2 linked regions of the Caenorhabditis elegans genome follow. The protein of the gene in region 1 interacts with the protein of each later gene in a biochemical or structural test. Each region holds a gene or a part of one and is shown on either strand. Other genes may lie near its edges.

The links. The genes of interacting proteins can lie anywhere in the genome.
Region 2: the proteins of brc-1 (region 1) and brd-1 form a complex in vitro, tested with the Caenorhabditis elegans proteins (one study listed by BioGRID).

The regions. Positions count from the first base shown.
Region 1 is NC_003281.10:3,859,923-3,864,669, reverse strand, and holds the start of brc-1 (Breast cancer type 1 susceptibility protein homolog), read left to right. Parts: upstream 1-1,711; coding exon 1,712-1,782; intron 1,783-1,835; coding exon 1,836-2,181; intron 2,182-2,637; coding exon 2,638-2,866; intron 2,867-2,915; coding exon 2,916-2,989; intron 2,990-3,051; coding exon 3,052-3,390; intron 3,391-4,747. Other genes in the region: acs-19 (Acetyl-coenzyme A synthetase), read right to left, coding at 1-55, 106-165. UniProt on the Caenorhabditis elegans protein: E3 ubiquitin-protein ligase that specifically mediates the formation of polyubiquitin chains and plays a central role in DNA repair.
Region 2 is NC_003281.10:6,884,688-6,891,389, reverse strand, and holds brd-1 (BRCA1-associated RING domain protein 1), read left to right. Parts: upstream 1-1,885; 5' UTR 1,886-1,894; coding exon 1,895-1,956; intron 1,957-1,999; coding exon 2,000-2,059; intron 2,060-2,108; coding exon 2,109-2,277; intron 2,278-2,320; coding exon 2,321-2,496; intron 2,497-2,504; exon of another isoform or gene 2,505-2,587; intron 2,588-2,708; exon of another isoform or gene 2,709-2,799; intron 2,800-2,813; coding exon 2,814-2,873; intron 2,874-2,921; coding exon 2,922-3,099; intron 3,100-3,152; coding exon 3,153-3,461; intron 3,462-3,586; exon of another isoform or gene 3,587-3,674; intron 3,675-3,755; coding exon 3,756-3,969; intron 3,970-4,011; coding exon 4,012-4,212; intron 4,213-4,264; coding exon 4,265-4,362; intron 4,363-4,404; coding exon 4,405-4,520; intron 4,521-5,472; coding exon 5,473-5,632; intron 5,633-5,681; coding exon 5,682-5,742; intron 5,743-5,791; coding exon 5,792-5,934; intron 5,935-6,013; coding exon 6,014-6,115; 3' UTR 6,116-6,183; downstream 6,184-6,702. Other genes in the region: K04C2.5 (INSulin related), read left to right, coding at 88-207, 261-346; K04C2.2 (DNA polymerase V), read right to left, coding at 405-595, 643-730, 775-966, 1,023-1,223, 1,270-1,461, 1,514-1,615; med-2 (GATA-type domain-containing protein), read right to left, coding at 6,363-6,702. UniProt on the Caenorhabditis elegans protein: Constituent of the CeBCD complex that possesses E3 ubiquitin-protein ligase activity.

The DNA of each region.
Region 1 (4,747 bases):
ATTGAAGGCCAGCACAGTGAGCACCGGCAAGGAGTGGGGCTGGAGGGAGGAAAATCTGAAATCTATTGGTTTTAAAAGTATTCTTTCGAAGAAATAAATTCTTACATCCTCGTCGAGACCTTCTCCATCGTTGGCTAGGTTGAACTTGACGCGAACGTCCGACATGATGAGATGCAATAACCTGAAAATGAGGCACTTTATGATAAGAAAATGCGGTAAAACATGCGAAATATGGCACCATAAACCGTGAGCAGGACAAAGAACAAACACTTGGAAAAGAAAAGAAAATAGAAAGAAAAAAAGGAAAACTGGAGAAAACAAACTCAATAACACAACGCGAGAAATACAATTTCGTTTCGTTTTTTCTTCTATTTATTAGATTTCTCACAATTTGTTACCAGTAAAGTCACGTTCTATATTTCAAACTACTCCTAAAATTCGGTTTGAACAGTTCTCTGATAAACGAATTTCGAAGAACGATCAGAAAACAAATCTACGGTTGTGTGTGATCAATGGGGTCAAACGGTGGACGAAAGGGGACGGCGGAGAGAGGAAAAAGTGAGAGAAAATAAATAAAATTGACCTTCGAGTGCAGAGTTTTGCTGGTATTTTGGTCAGAATTGATTATGAAAATCTGAAAATTACCGCCGGGAAAGTTGAAAATTTGACGTGGAAACGTTTAAAAAAATAAGATGAGAAAGTTAGTACTGTAGATGTCGTCGGATCAAGTGCACAGTACGCAAGCACCGTTACGAAAAATTGCACTAATTGCTCAATTAAATTTTTTTAAAAAATTAATTTTTATAGTGTGTTTTGTGTTTTTTTTCTGCTTTTTTAATGATTTTTAAAGGCTTGATTATGTTTTTTTCTCAAAATTTGAATAATCAATAACATTAATTAATTACTTTATTAAAAAACCACATTTGGCATTTTAATAAAGCAAGTTATCGCGACAAACGGCAAAAATGTCTCTTTTTATAAAAATTGTTTTTTTTTGAGTTAAGAGAAGATGTGGAGTTTTTTGAACTACATTAGTTTTCTAAAAATTTTATCATCTAGATTTTGAGGAAAAAAGCAGATTATATATCTTTAATCTTGGTTTTAAAATTTTTTTAAAAAGCAGAATATTAAAGTAAAATATTATAAAAAGAAAAATTCGTGTTTGCAAAATTTGTTTGAACGGAACCTTGCAAAAATGATATTTAGCAGCTAAACTAACTGAAAACTACTGCATAAAGCTTTCCCAAAAAGAGCTACCATCCAGAAAATGTTTTTTTTTTCAAAGCCGAAAAAGAAGAAAAAAAGATAGAAAACCGAAAAAGCAGCATCGTTTTCGCGCACTCTTTCTTCTTTTTTTCTTTCTTTTTCTAAAAAAAAATATTCTCCGTAGCTTGAAGTCTCAGGATTTCCAAAGGGAATTTCCTTGATAGAATATGGAAAAACAAGAGAGTCATCAGAGAAGGGAGAGGAAAAGCGGGGATGCTGGCGAAGACCGGGGGCACCGACTGAAATATAGGCACCGGCGGGGAGGCGGGGCGCTCTCTCCTCTCCGCTTTACTCCGCCCCGATTGTCAGTGGAGCAGGTTTGCAATGAGTGTTCTCTGATGCCCCCTCAGCGCGGGAGTTTTGAAATCAAATATTTTGTATTTTAACCTACTTTATTGATTTTTCAATTAAAATGAAATGTTATTTGTTTAAAATTTAATTTCAGATGGCAGATGTTGCACTGAGGATCACAGAAACAGTGGCACGACTGCAAAAAGAACTGAAATGTGGAATTTGGTAATTTATTTTCAAAAAATCAACAAAAAAACCTTAAATTGGTTTTTTTTCAGCTGTTCAACATACAAAGATCCAATTCTGTCCACATGTTTCCATATTTTCTGTCGTTCTTGCATTAACGCTTGCTTCGAACGAAAACGAAAAGTTCAATGCCCAATTTGTAGAAGTGTACTGGATAAGCGAAGTTGTCGAGATACTTATCAAATTACAATGGCTGTGCAGAACTATTTAAAGCTATCAGAAGCATTTAAAAAAGATATTGAGAATATGAATACGTTCAAGTCACTGCCGCCAGAGAAAATGTTCATGGAAAGTCAAATGCCGCTGGATATCACGATTATTCCAGAGAATGATGGAAAACGATGCGCTCCAGATTTTGCTATACCTTTTTTGCCAGTGGTATGCTTTTTGGCACAAAAAACCAATTAAAACCAAAAGAAAATCACTAAAAATATTTCTAAAATGTCAAATAAAAACATTTTTCACCTTTTTTTGTGTCGTATAGCGATTAAATCAATTTTTAATAATTTTATTACACACTTTTTTCATCGATTTGCTAATTTCTGACTGAAAATCATAGCGGACTGCGAAAAAATTTCGTCAAAAACACGAAAAAAGCAGAAAAGAAATATTTTTTACTTTTTTTTTGTTTGGAAAACTGGACTCTATAGTTACATTTTCTAGTGTATTTTTTTGGGAAAAAAAATTAAAAATGCAATACAAATTGCTAATTAGCTAAATAGTTGAAAAATTTTGAGTTTTTGCATAATTTAGTCCGTTTTTCGAAGTTATCATTAAAAAATTCGGCCTTTTTGGGCTATTTTGACTCTATTAACATTAAATCTGTATTTTCAGCGCCGAAAGCGACCGAGTCGACCACAACCGCCGAGCGCATTCGCCGAGGAGCCTGCAGAACCGGTAGAACCGCCAGAACCAGCCACAAAACAACCTGTAGAGCTCCAAAGTCGAGTATTCCCGCTGGAAAAATTGAAAAAAGACGTGGAAACCTCTACAGAAACGTATAAAATATCAAGAGAAGAACTGAAAAATGTTGATATTGAAGAATACATAAATACCCTCCGAGGTTGGTCAAAAATCAAAAAAAAATTCGCTAATTTTTGCCAATTTTCCAGAAAATTCGACAGAGATTGATGAAATCGATGCACTTTTCCAATTAATGCCGACGATGCGACAATTTCTTCGAAATGTTTGTGATGATTCGGGCTTATTTAGAGGAAAATAATTTTTGAAATAAAATATTTTTTGCAGAATATCAATCAGCTAATGGAGAAATTCCATGTGGCGCCACCGAAAAAATCAGAGAAACCAGCGAATCGAAGAGTATCCTTTGCGAGTTCTCAAGATCTTGAAAACATAAAAATTATGACAGCTTCTGAATCGCTGGAAACTCCTCCTGAGCCAATCCAAAAACTAGCCCAAAAGCCTGAAGTTTTCAAAAGTACTCAAAATTTGATCGATTTGAATCTAAATACTGCAGTGAAAAAGCCAGTGGTCGTAGCATCAGATGATGATGAAGTTGTAGAAGATTCTGAAGGAGAACTACAAATTGATGAAGATGATCTGGCAAATGTTACCTGTGCTACAAGTGTAAGAAATATAGGAAAATCATTGTGTGCAGAATATATCAGGGGTGTGCGGCAAATTTGCCGAATTTGTCGTTTGCCGAGCTCGGCAAATTTCAAAAAAGTTGATTTGCCGAATTTGCCGAGCTCGGCAAATTTCGAAATTTGCCGCACACGTCAAAAATTTGACAGTACAATTTCGACTAAAACTACTGATTTTTTCGCCAAAAATTCAGTAAAATGACACAAAATTGAGTTATTTTGATGCTTAAGCAGACATACTACACGGAACTGATTCCGAAGCCAGATGTGTGTTAAGAATTCGGTAGTTTTGGTGGTCCAAAAACATCAAAAAATATCAAAAATTTCCGAGTTTGTTAAGCACGGCAAATTTGCCGAATTTGCCGAATTAGCCGAGCTCGGCAAATTTGCCGAATTTGCCGTGCTCGGCAAATATTGAACAAAGAGATTTGCCGAATTTGCCGAGCTCGGCAAATTTTGCGATTTGCCGCACACCCCTGGAATATATGGTTTTCAACAGAAAAATTCAATTTTAATTTTAAAAAAAGTTGAATTGTTTTATAAAAAAGTGCTGAACCCGAAAAAAAAACATAATTTTGAGAAAATGCAAATATTTTTTCATTCAAAATTTCCATTTTTGTTATAATTTCGAGCATAACTTTAAAGAAAAAATTTGAAAATAAATTTTTAAGCAATTTTTTTTTAAATATCAGGTTGTCCCATAAGTTTTTGTACTTTTTTTCAAATATTTTTCCAAAACTTCTAGAAAGTTTTAAAATTTTTTCATCGTAGGTCGTGTCAAGGTCGGGTCGTCCCCTTTCAGAAAAGATTCATTTCATCCATTTCTACTTTGCCACGATGACAATCATCAAACTTGAACGTCGAGACGTTAGATTGCTTCTTCTTTATGAATTTCGTCTTGGTCATTCAGCAATGGAAGCGGAACGAAACATATGCGGTGCGATGGGTGAGGGAGCACTCTCTTATAATACAGCAAAGAGTTGGTTTCAAAAGTTCAAGAACGGCGACTTCAGTCTCGAAGAAATAGAACGTTCTGGGCGACCGGTAGAGTTAAATGAAGAAGACCTAGTGAAGCTGGTGGAGGAAGAGCCTCGTCTTAGTCTTCGTGAAATGGAAGAGAAGCTTGAGTGTTGTCATAGCACAATTGCACGTCACTTGGGTCGCCTTGGTTTTACTTCAAAACTTGGAATTTGGGTGCCTCATGAACTTTCGGCATCACAGAAGCTCACTCGGGTCAACGTTTGTACTCAACTTCTAACTTTTCGTCGAAAGTTCGATTGGCTGAACAATCTGGTTACTGGAGATGAGAAGTGGGTGCTCTATGTTAACCATTCCAGAAA
Region 2 (6,702 bases), 3.0 Mb from region 1:
CGATTTCTGAATTAATTCTTCATAATTTACCAGCATACATTTTTAAGATACAAGAAATTAAATATTGTTCCAACACTTTTTTTACAGGCGGTGATCCATTTTCTGATGCTGTCTGGCTTCCTGTACTCGATTTATGTTCTATCGAGTGTGAAATAACATCCGAATATTGTGTGGAAAATGAGGAACTTACACAACAATGCAAGAAATGTATGTTTTCGATGTTTAGAAGAAAGCTTGAGTTTTAAAAAATCTTTTTTCAGTACCGGAAGATTGCCAGGCTCTTCTCCGAAAAGCAATCAAACAAATTCAGAGACATATTCGATCACAAAAGCCAGTTTACCTTTAGATAATTTCTATCTCACTAATTTTTGTAAATTTGAACAATAAAGACTCTTGAATATTACCTTTTTACTCATCAATCTGAATTGTCCTTTTCCACGTGTAGCGGTCTCCATTCGATTCAAAACTTCTTTAGTAAATACTACAACAATTGATTTCACATCGCCTCCAAAATCAAAGAATTGAGTGACAATCGTGAGAATTCTATCGAAAACTTTCGTCTCGTTGCTTGAAAGGGCCCATGGCTCGAGAACTTCTGAAAATGAGAATTTATAAAAAAAACTTTTCAAAAGTATAACTTACTCAGGTACATTTTATCAAAACCAGATGATTCAACTGATGCTTTGATGAGAAGTGGAAGAAATACTTGAACTGTGGCGAAGTCACAGCGCTGAAAATAAAGTATTTATAAAAATTTTAAAATAGAAAACTAACCTTTAAAGCAGCCAAAATTTTAGGATACTGATCATCAGAAAATTGAATAGATCCGTCTTTCTTTACAAACTTTGCGTATTTTGCAACCACTGTTGAATGAGAATTACGAAGGCGAAGTGCCAGGTAGACATTTTCCGGTGTGAACTGAGAGCTGAGACCTTCCAAATTCATTTCGATGGCTGGGGATACACTCTGAAATTTAAAAATTAATATAGATTTGTTTTTGTTCAAACAGTAAATTGATTTACCTTTTGGAAAACACTTTCTTTTGTCTTTGTAGCCAAACTGCATAGAAGGTTAATCTGTGAAAATGCCAAGCTTGGAGCAAAGTCTCTGATTTTCTTCGAATGCTCAACAATTTTTGTAGCTTCTGCTTCTTTGAGTTTTCTGGTTTGACAATATGTGACAAGAATAAGATAATGTCCAATTGCATGTCCGGTACCAACAGTCTGAATCGAAACATTTAGTACAAATAAAGGAACTTACAATCCCAACCTTTTCTGCCAGGTCCATCTTTTTATCTGCAACGGCCAATATTTTGTCGAGTTCCCATGATTCGCCTGCTTTTGTCATTAAAATAGTACCCAAAGCGGTTGTATATCCCAAACGAACAGCAGCACGAGCTGAAGCACATCCAGAAATAAGACGTTCAATCACATATGTGTTGAGCTCGTTATCGGATAATTCCTAAAAAAATAACACTTTAATTAGGCATTTATTTCAGCTACTTTTTTCCTACCTCTTGTTTGCTTGAAAGCTGTCTAACTGCTCCTTTTCTGACTAATGGATCGAGCTCAGCAAGCTTTGAAATAATATCGAGTAATTCACTTGGCGGTCTCATGCTTAAAACTTAAAATTATAATTAAAAAGAGAATAAATTGACGAGAGGATCATTCTCGTGAATTTTCCAGACCAAGTAAACTGTATTTTTCTATAAAACACAAAAAATAAATGTAATTTTAGTTTAATGAAAGAAAAAGAAATAGAAGTAAAATATTTTGTTCGTAAAATAAAATGTATTCTGTGCGCACGCACCACACCTGACGCGCAAACAAACAAGTGCGATTTTCGAATTTTATTCTTTTCCTGTTTGATTTAATTATTGTTTCAGCGTCAAATAATGTTTGAAAACACTAAAAAAGCATTGGAAACGTTTCGAACAGCTATCGAGTGTGTTAAATGGTAAGTTGTTGTACAAGATTTTGCCTCTTAAATAAAATTTCAGCAAAAAACCGAGGGGAGACTTGCAATATCTCGGATCATCTTGCAAACATGCTTATTGCTGGTAGGTATTGCAACCTAATAAATTGTCAATAACTTCAGTTTATGTTCAGGGAATGTATCGCCACATTTCAACAGAAACCGTCTGGAAAACGCTCTTCAGTGGCTCGACACATGTGTCCGAGTTGTGCTTTCCCACTAGACACATCCAAAATCACAGAAGCTCATATGCTGAAAACGTGCTTTGATACTTTGTCTGAACTAAACGACCTTTTACAGAAAGTAAGTCAATGGTGAAAAGCTCGAAAATTAAATTCTCATTTAGGTCGGAACAACATCTCTAACTCAAGCAGAGTTTGCCTGTACACAAAACATTTTTAACAAAGAAAAAACTCCAGCTGATGCCGTAGAGAAATTCCTGGAGACGCAAGCTCATATGCCAGACGAGATGGGACAACTTGGTGAAGAGGATGATGATTTGATGTGTAAAGATGAAAACCGGTAAGTCGAAAAAATCTGCGTTCGGGGGGAATCGAACCCCCGTCGAATGCTTGGAAGGCATCCATGCTGACCATTACACCACGAACGCGACATATCGGGGATATCTTTCCGAGAAAACGATTCCCGTCATGCTTCTTCTACAAACCTGATGCGGTCTATTTGGTGGCTTCAAGTAGAAATGTCTCTTCATTTAATAGCTGGTTTCCCATGCCGCGTTCGTGGTGTAATGGTCAGCATGGATGCCTTCCAAGCATTCGACGGGGGTTCGATTCCCCCCGAACGCAGAACTTTTTTTCATATTTTCCCAGTAAATTCAGGGAAAATTCAAACTCTCCAGAATTGGATATATTCCACGACTACAGCAAAGAAGCTTCTCCGTGAGTTTGTTACATTGCTTCAATTAATTGAATTTTATTTACTTTTAGAACGCGTAATTCGACAAAACGCCCTTCAACTGTCAGTGTTCATGAGAGAAAACCCAAAAGGTCATCGATACTGAAAACTTCCGTCAAAAATGAACCGGCTGCGCCTGTAGTTGATCTTTTTGCATCGCAAGTTCCGCAGAGAACTCATCAAAATGATTTACTGACGCCGTTTATTGAGGTATGACAATTTCACTTTAAAGACGCTTCAGAACTTTAACGGAAATTCTTCAGCGTCGCTCAACTGCTCCAGCAGCAACTGGTGTTGCAACGTATGCTCAAGCTTTCGGAAGTAGCAGTAATCCAGTTAAAGCCGAAATTATCGAAGAAGATATTTTCTCGAAAGCGATTCCTCTCACAAAACGGCAAGCTTCAATGAGTGCGAGCGCCAAGAAACAACCAAAATTGGAACCTGAAGAACCAGAAGAAGTACCATCGACGTCTAGAAGTCGTAAAAATTCGATTAAATCCGATAAAATCGAACGACGATCTCAATCACCGATGAGTTTTGGAGAGAAGTCGATGAGTGTGAAATCAGAGCAAGTGAGTGACTTCAATAAAAGAGTTTTCGGGCGTTCGTCTTTCTACTCTGTCACGCTCAACGTCCACATTATCTTGTTGTCTGCGCCTCTGTCCCTTACTTAACAAGTCTTTGCATCACAGCACGCATGGCCTCCTTAGCTCAGTTGGTAGAGCGTGAGACTTTTAATCTTAAGGTCAGGGGTTCGAGTCCCCTAGGTGGCTTGACTTTTTTTTTTGAAAATTGAACTTGATCTCTACGCCTTCATTCCAATTTTCACATTTTCGCAAACTTTTTGCAATTTTTTAAATGTTCAGCGTCGCAGTTCTTATGGTACTCGTCGTGGTGAAGCTGTCCTGGTCAATTCAATTCGCAATAATCGTATTCCTCAACTTCGAAGTGCTGTAGAGGCAGGAACGTGCGTAAATGAGAAAGAAGACGGAAAGACACCACTTTACGTGGCAGTTGAGAATAGCTCATTGGAAGCTGTTAAGATACTTGTTGAAGCGGGTGCAGTTATTAATGCTTCATGTAAGAAACAACTTCTATCAACTTTCTTGACGAAGAATTCAGGCGGCTCAACATTAGAAACAACGCTTCACGAGGCTGTTCGCCGTCAAAATACTCAAATTGTTGAATATCTTTTATCGAAAGGTGCCAGCATCAAAATTCGAAATATTGCTGGAAAAACTGTCGAAGAAATGGCTAAAAGTGATCCGAAAATTAGGAAAATAATCGAAAAATTCAAGACTGAACAGAGAGTTTTACAGCCTGGTAAGAAATTTTTTGACAATTTTATTCTTCGTGATAAAAATTGAATTTTCAGTCGTCGCCCCTCCAAAATCTCGTCTTCATTTCGTTCAACTCATAGATGAGAAGATGCTCACTGAATCTGAAAAACGAAAACTTCCCGGAAAAATCAATGTAAAAACAATTAATTTTTAAAAATAAAATAAATTTATTCAGATAGTTCCTGCTGATATGGATTCTCCGACGCATGTGGTAGTCACCGTTGATTTGAAAACTCGTGTGCTCAATATTAACAAGGAGCATATTGGAGAAATTTTAAAAGCTATCATAAAGTAGGTTTTTAAAATTATCCTAAAAAGTGGGAGATAGTCATTTTGGGATTTTTAATGTCAGAAAATAGACCGTAATGACAGACTATAGCTGTTAAGAAATTAATTTTTTCGAAATTTTTCAAAAAATGGGCTACTTATTTTTAAATTCTCGCGCAAATAAATGGAAGGCATTTGTTCGTAAGAAAACGCATGATAATCAGAAAGAAATTCGCTGAAACTTCAAAATTGAATTGAAAGTCGATAATTTCACATTTATTCATCTTTTTTTTTGCTTAAAAAATTTATGAAAATCTGACAATCTTCGGAACATCAAGCAAAAATCACGAAAAGCGTTCGAATTTAGCCATTCATTTGCACGAGAGTTCAAAACTAATCAGAACTTATTATTTTTCCAAAGCTGAAATAATTTTTTAACAGTTATATTCGGTAATTATGGTCTATTTTCTATCATTCCTTCAAATCAGGTCGCAATGCATTACATATTTATTGGAGATAAAAAGATAATTAGGCACGAACACAGGCTCCTGCCACACATTTTTTTCCAACTGGACAGTCAAAAGTACAAGGTTCATCAGCATTTTCGTCAGTGATAACAACTCCACCACTTGCATGATTTGAAAAAAGACATTGTCCATAAACACAAAGCCTATTATCCGAGCAATCCGAATCAGTTCGACATTCTGCTTTCTTTGCATTAACATAAATTGAAAGAAGAAGAAGAAGGAAACACTGCAAAATTAGTTTTGAATATTAGCAAAAGTAGTATATAACTCACCAGAAACACCTTCATTTCAGTTTCACAGTGGCTCGATTGTATTATAAAATGCGTTTCCCTGTCTAGTTATAGACTGATCCCATGGGAAAATTGCAAACAATCGCAAGGGTGCAGTATGAGAGCCAAAAAAATCTATGTGAAAATATGAAATTTCAAAGCGGAAATTCATACTTTCAGATCGGGAATGATAGTTAGTCGAGATTGGCTGAGAGCGTGCATTATTGATCCATCGAAAGTCGATGATGATCGTTCTTATATGGTTCAGAAAGTTAGATGGATGGAAGGTGAAGTATTTGAAAATACTATTGAACAATGGAAGAAGACAATCACTAAAATGGTACGGATTTGATTTCCACTAAAGAAAAAAATACAACCAAATTTTTCAGCAACCAAAATTGTTCGCCGGTTGCAAATTTTTCATTCCAAAGCCAAAGTATAACTTCCTCGGTACGATTCTAATTTACAGTATTTTAATTTTTTCAATTTTCAATTTCAGATCGCCCAGCTCTTTTTGAAATTATTCGATCTGCCGGTGGTCAAGCTGCAGCGAGGGAGCCCATTATTGACGAAAAAGATCCACCGCCGTACCATAATGCCAACTTGAAACCAAACTTTGTGCTCTACAGCTTGACACATGATGTAAGTTTAACGAAGGAGTTTTCCTGTTATTATGGATTCGGTAGTTTCAGTTTGGTGACATTTTTATTTCTCTTTACAGATAGGAGACAAATTCCGCGACTGCACAAAGTACAATCTTGTCAGCGAGCAGTGGTTAATAGAGGCGATTCTTGGATGCTCCATCACAACACCACCACATTAACCATTTTCCGTTTTAAAATATTTTCTTTTGCGTTTCTATTGTAAAATTGCAATATGAATGATTATTTTTTGAAGTGTTATTTTATACACAACGGCATCCAATCCATGCAATTAAAGTTATGATGTAATTAAAATCGAGAACAAGATATAAATATAAGTTATGAGATCATATTAATTAAAAACAATTTACCGGCTTAAAACAAGAAAATTACAATTGAGTTATACAATTTACAATGATACAATTTACATTAAGAAGAATCTACACCATTCGTTTCCTGTACCTTTAATTTTCTTTTTTGATATTTGTTAACGGCAGTGACTGGACGAGTCTCATTATATTTCCGTTGATAAATAAAACAAGCATTACATTGAATTCCTTCCTTTGATCGAATATTCCTCCAACGAATTGTTTCAGTTACTGAACAATTTGAGCATTGAAATGACTTCTTATTATCAGAATTGCTCGGTGGAGTTGAACTTTGAGTAGAGGTAGATGGAGATGTAGATGGAGTAGAAAAATGAGTAAACGTGGTGAAATGGGAAGAATTAGGACTTCCAGTAGTTGGTGAAATATTTAAAGATGAAGAA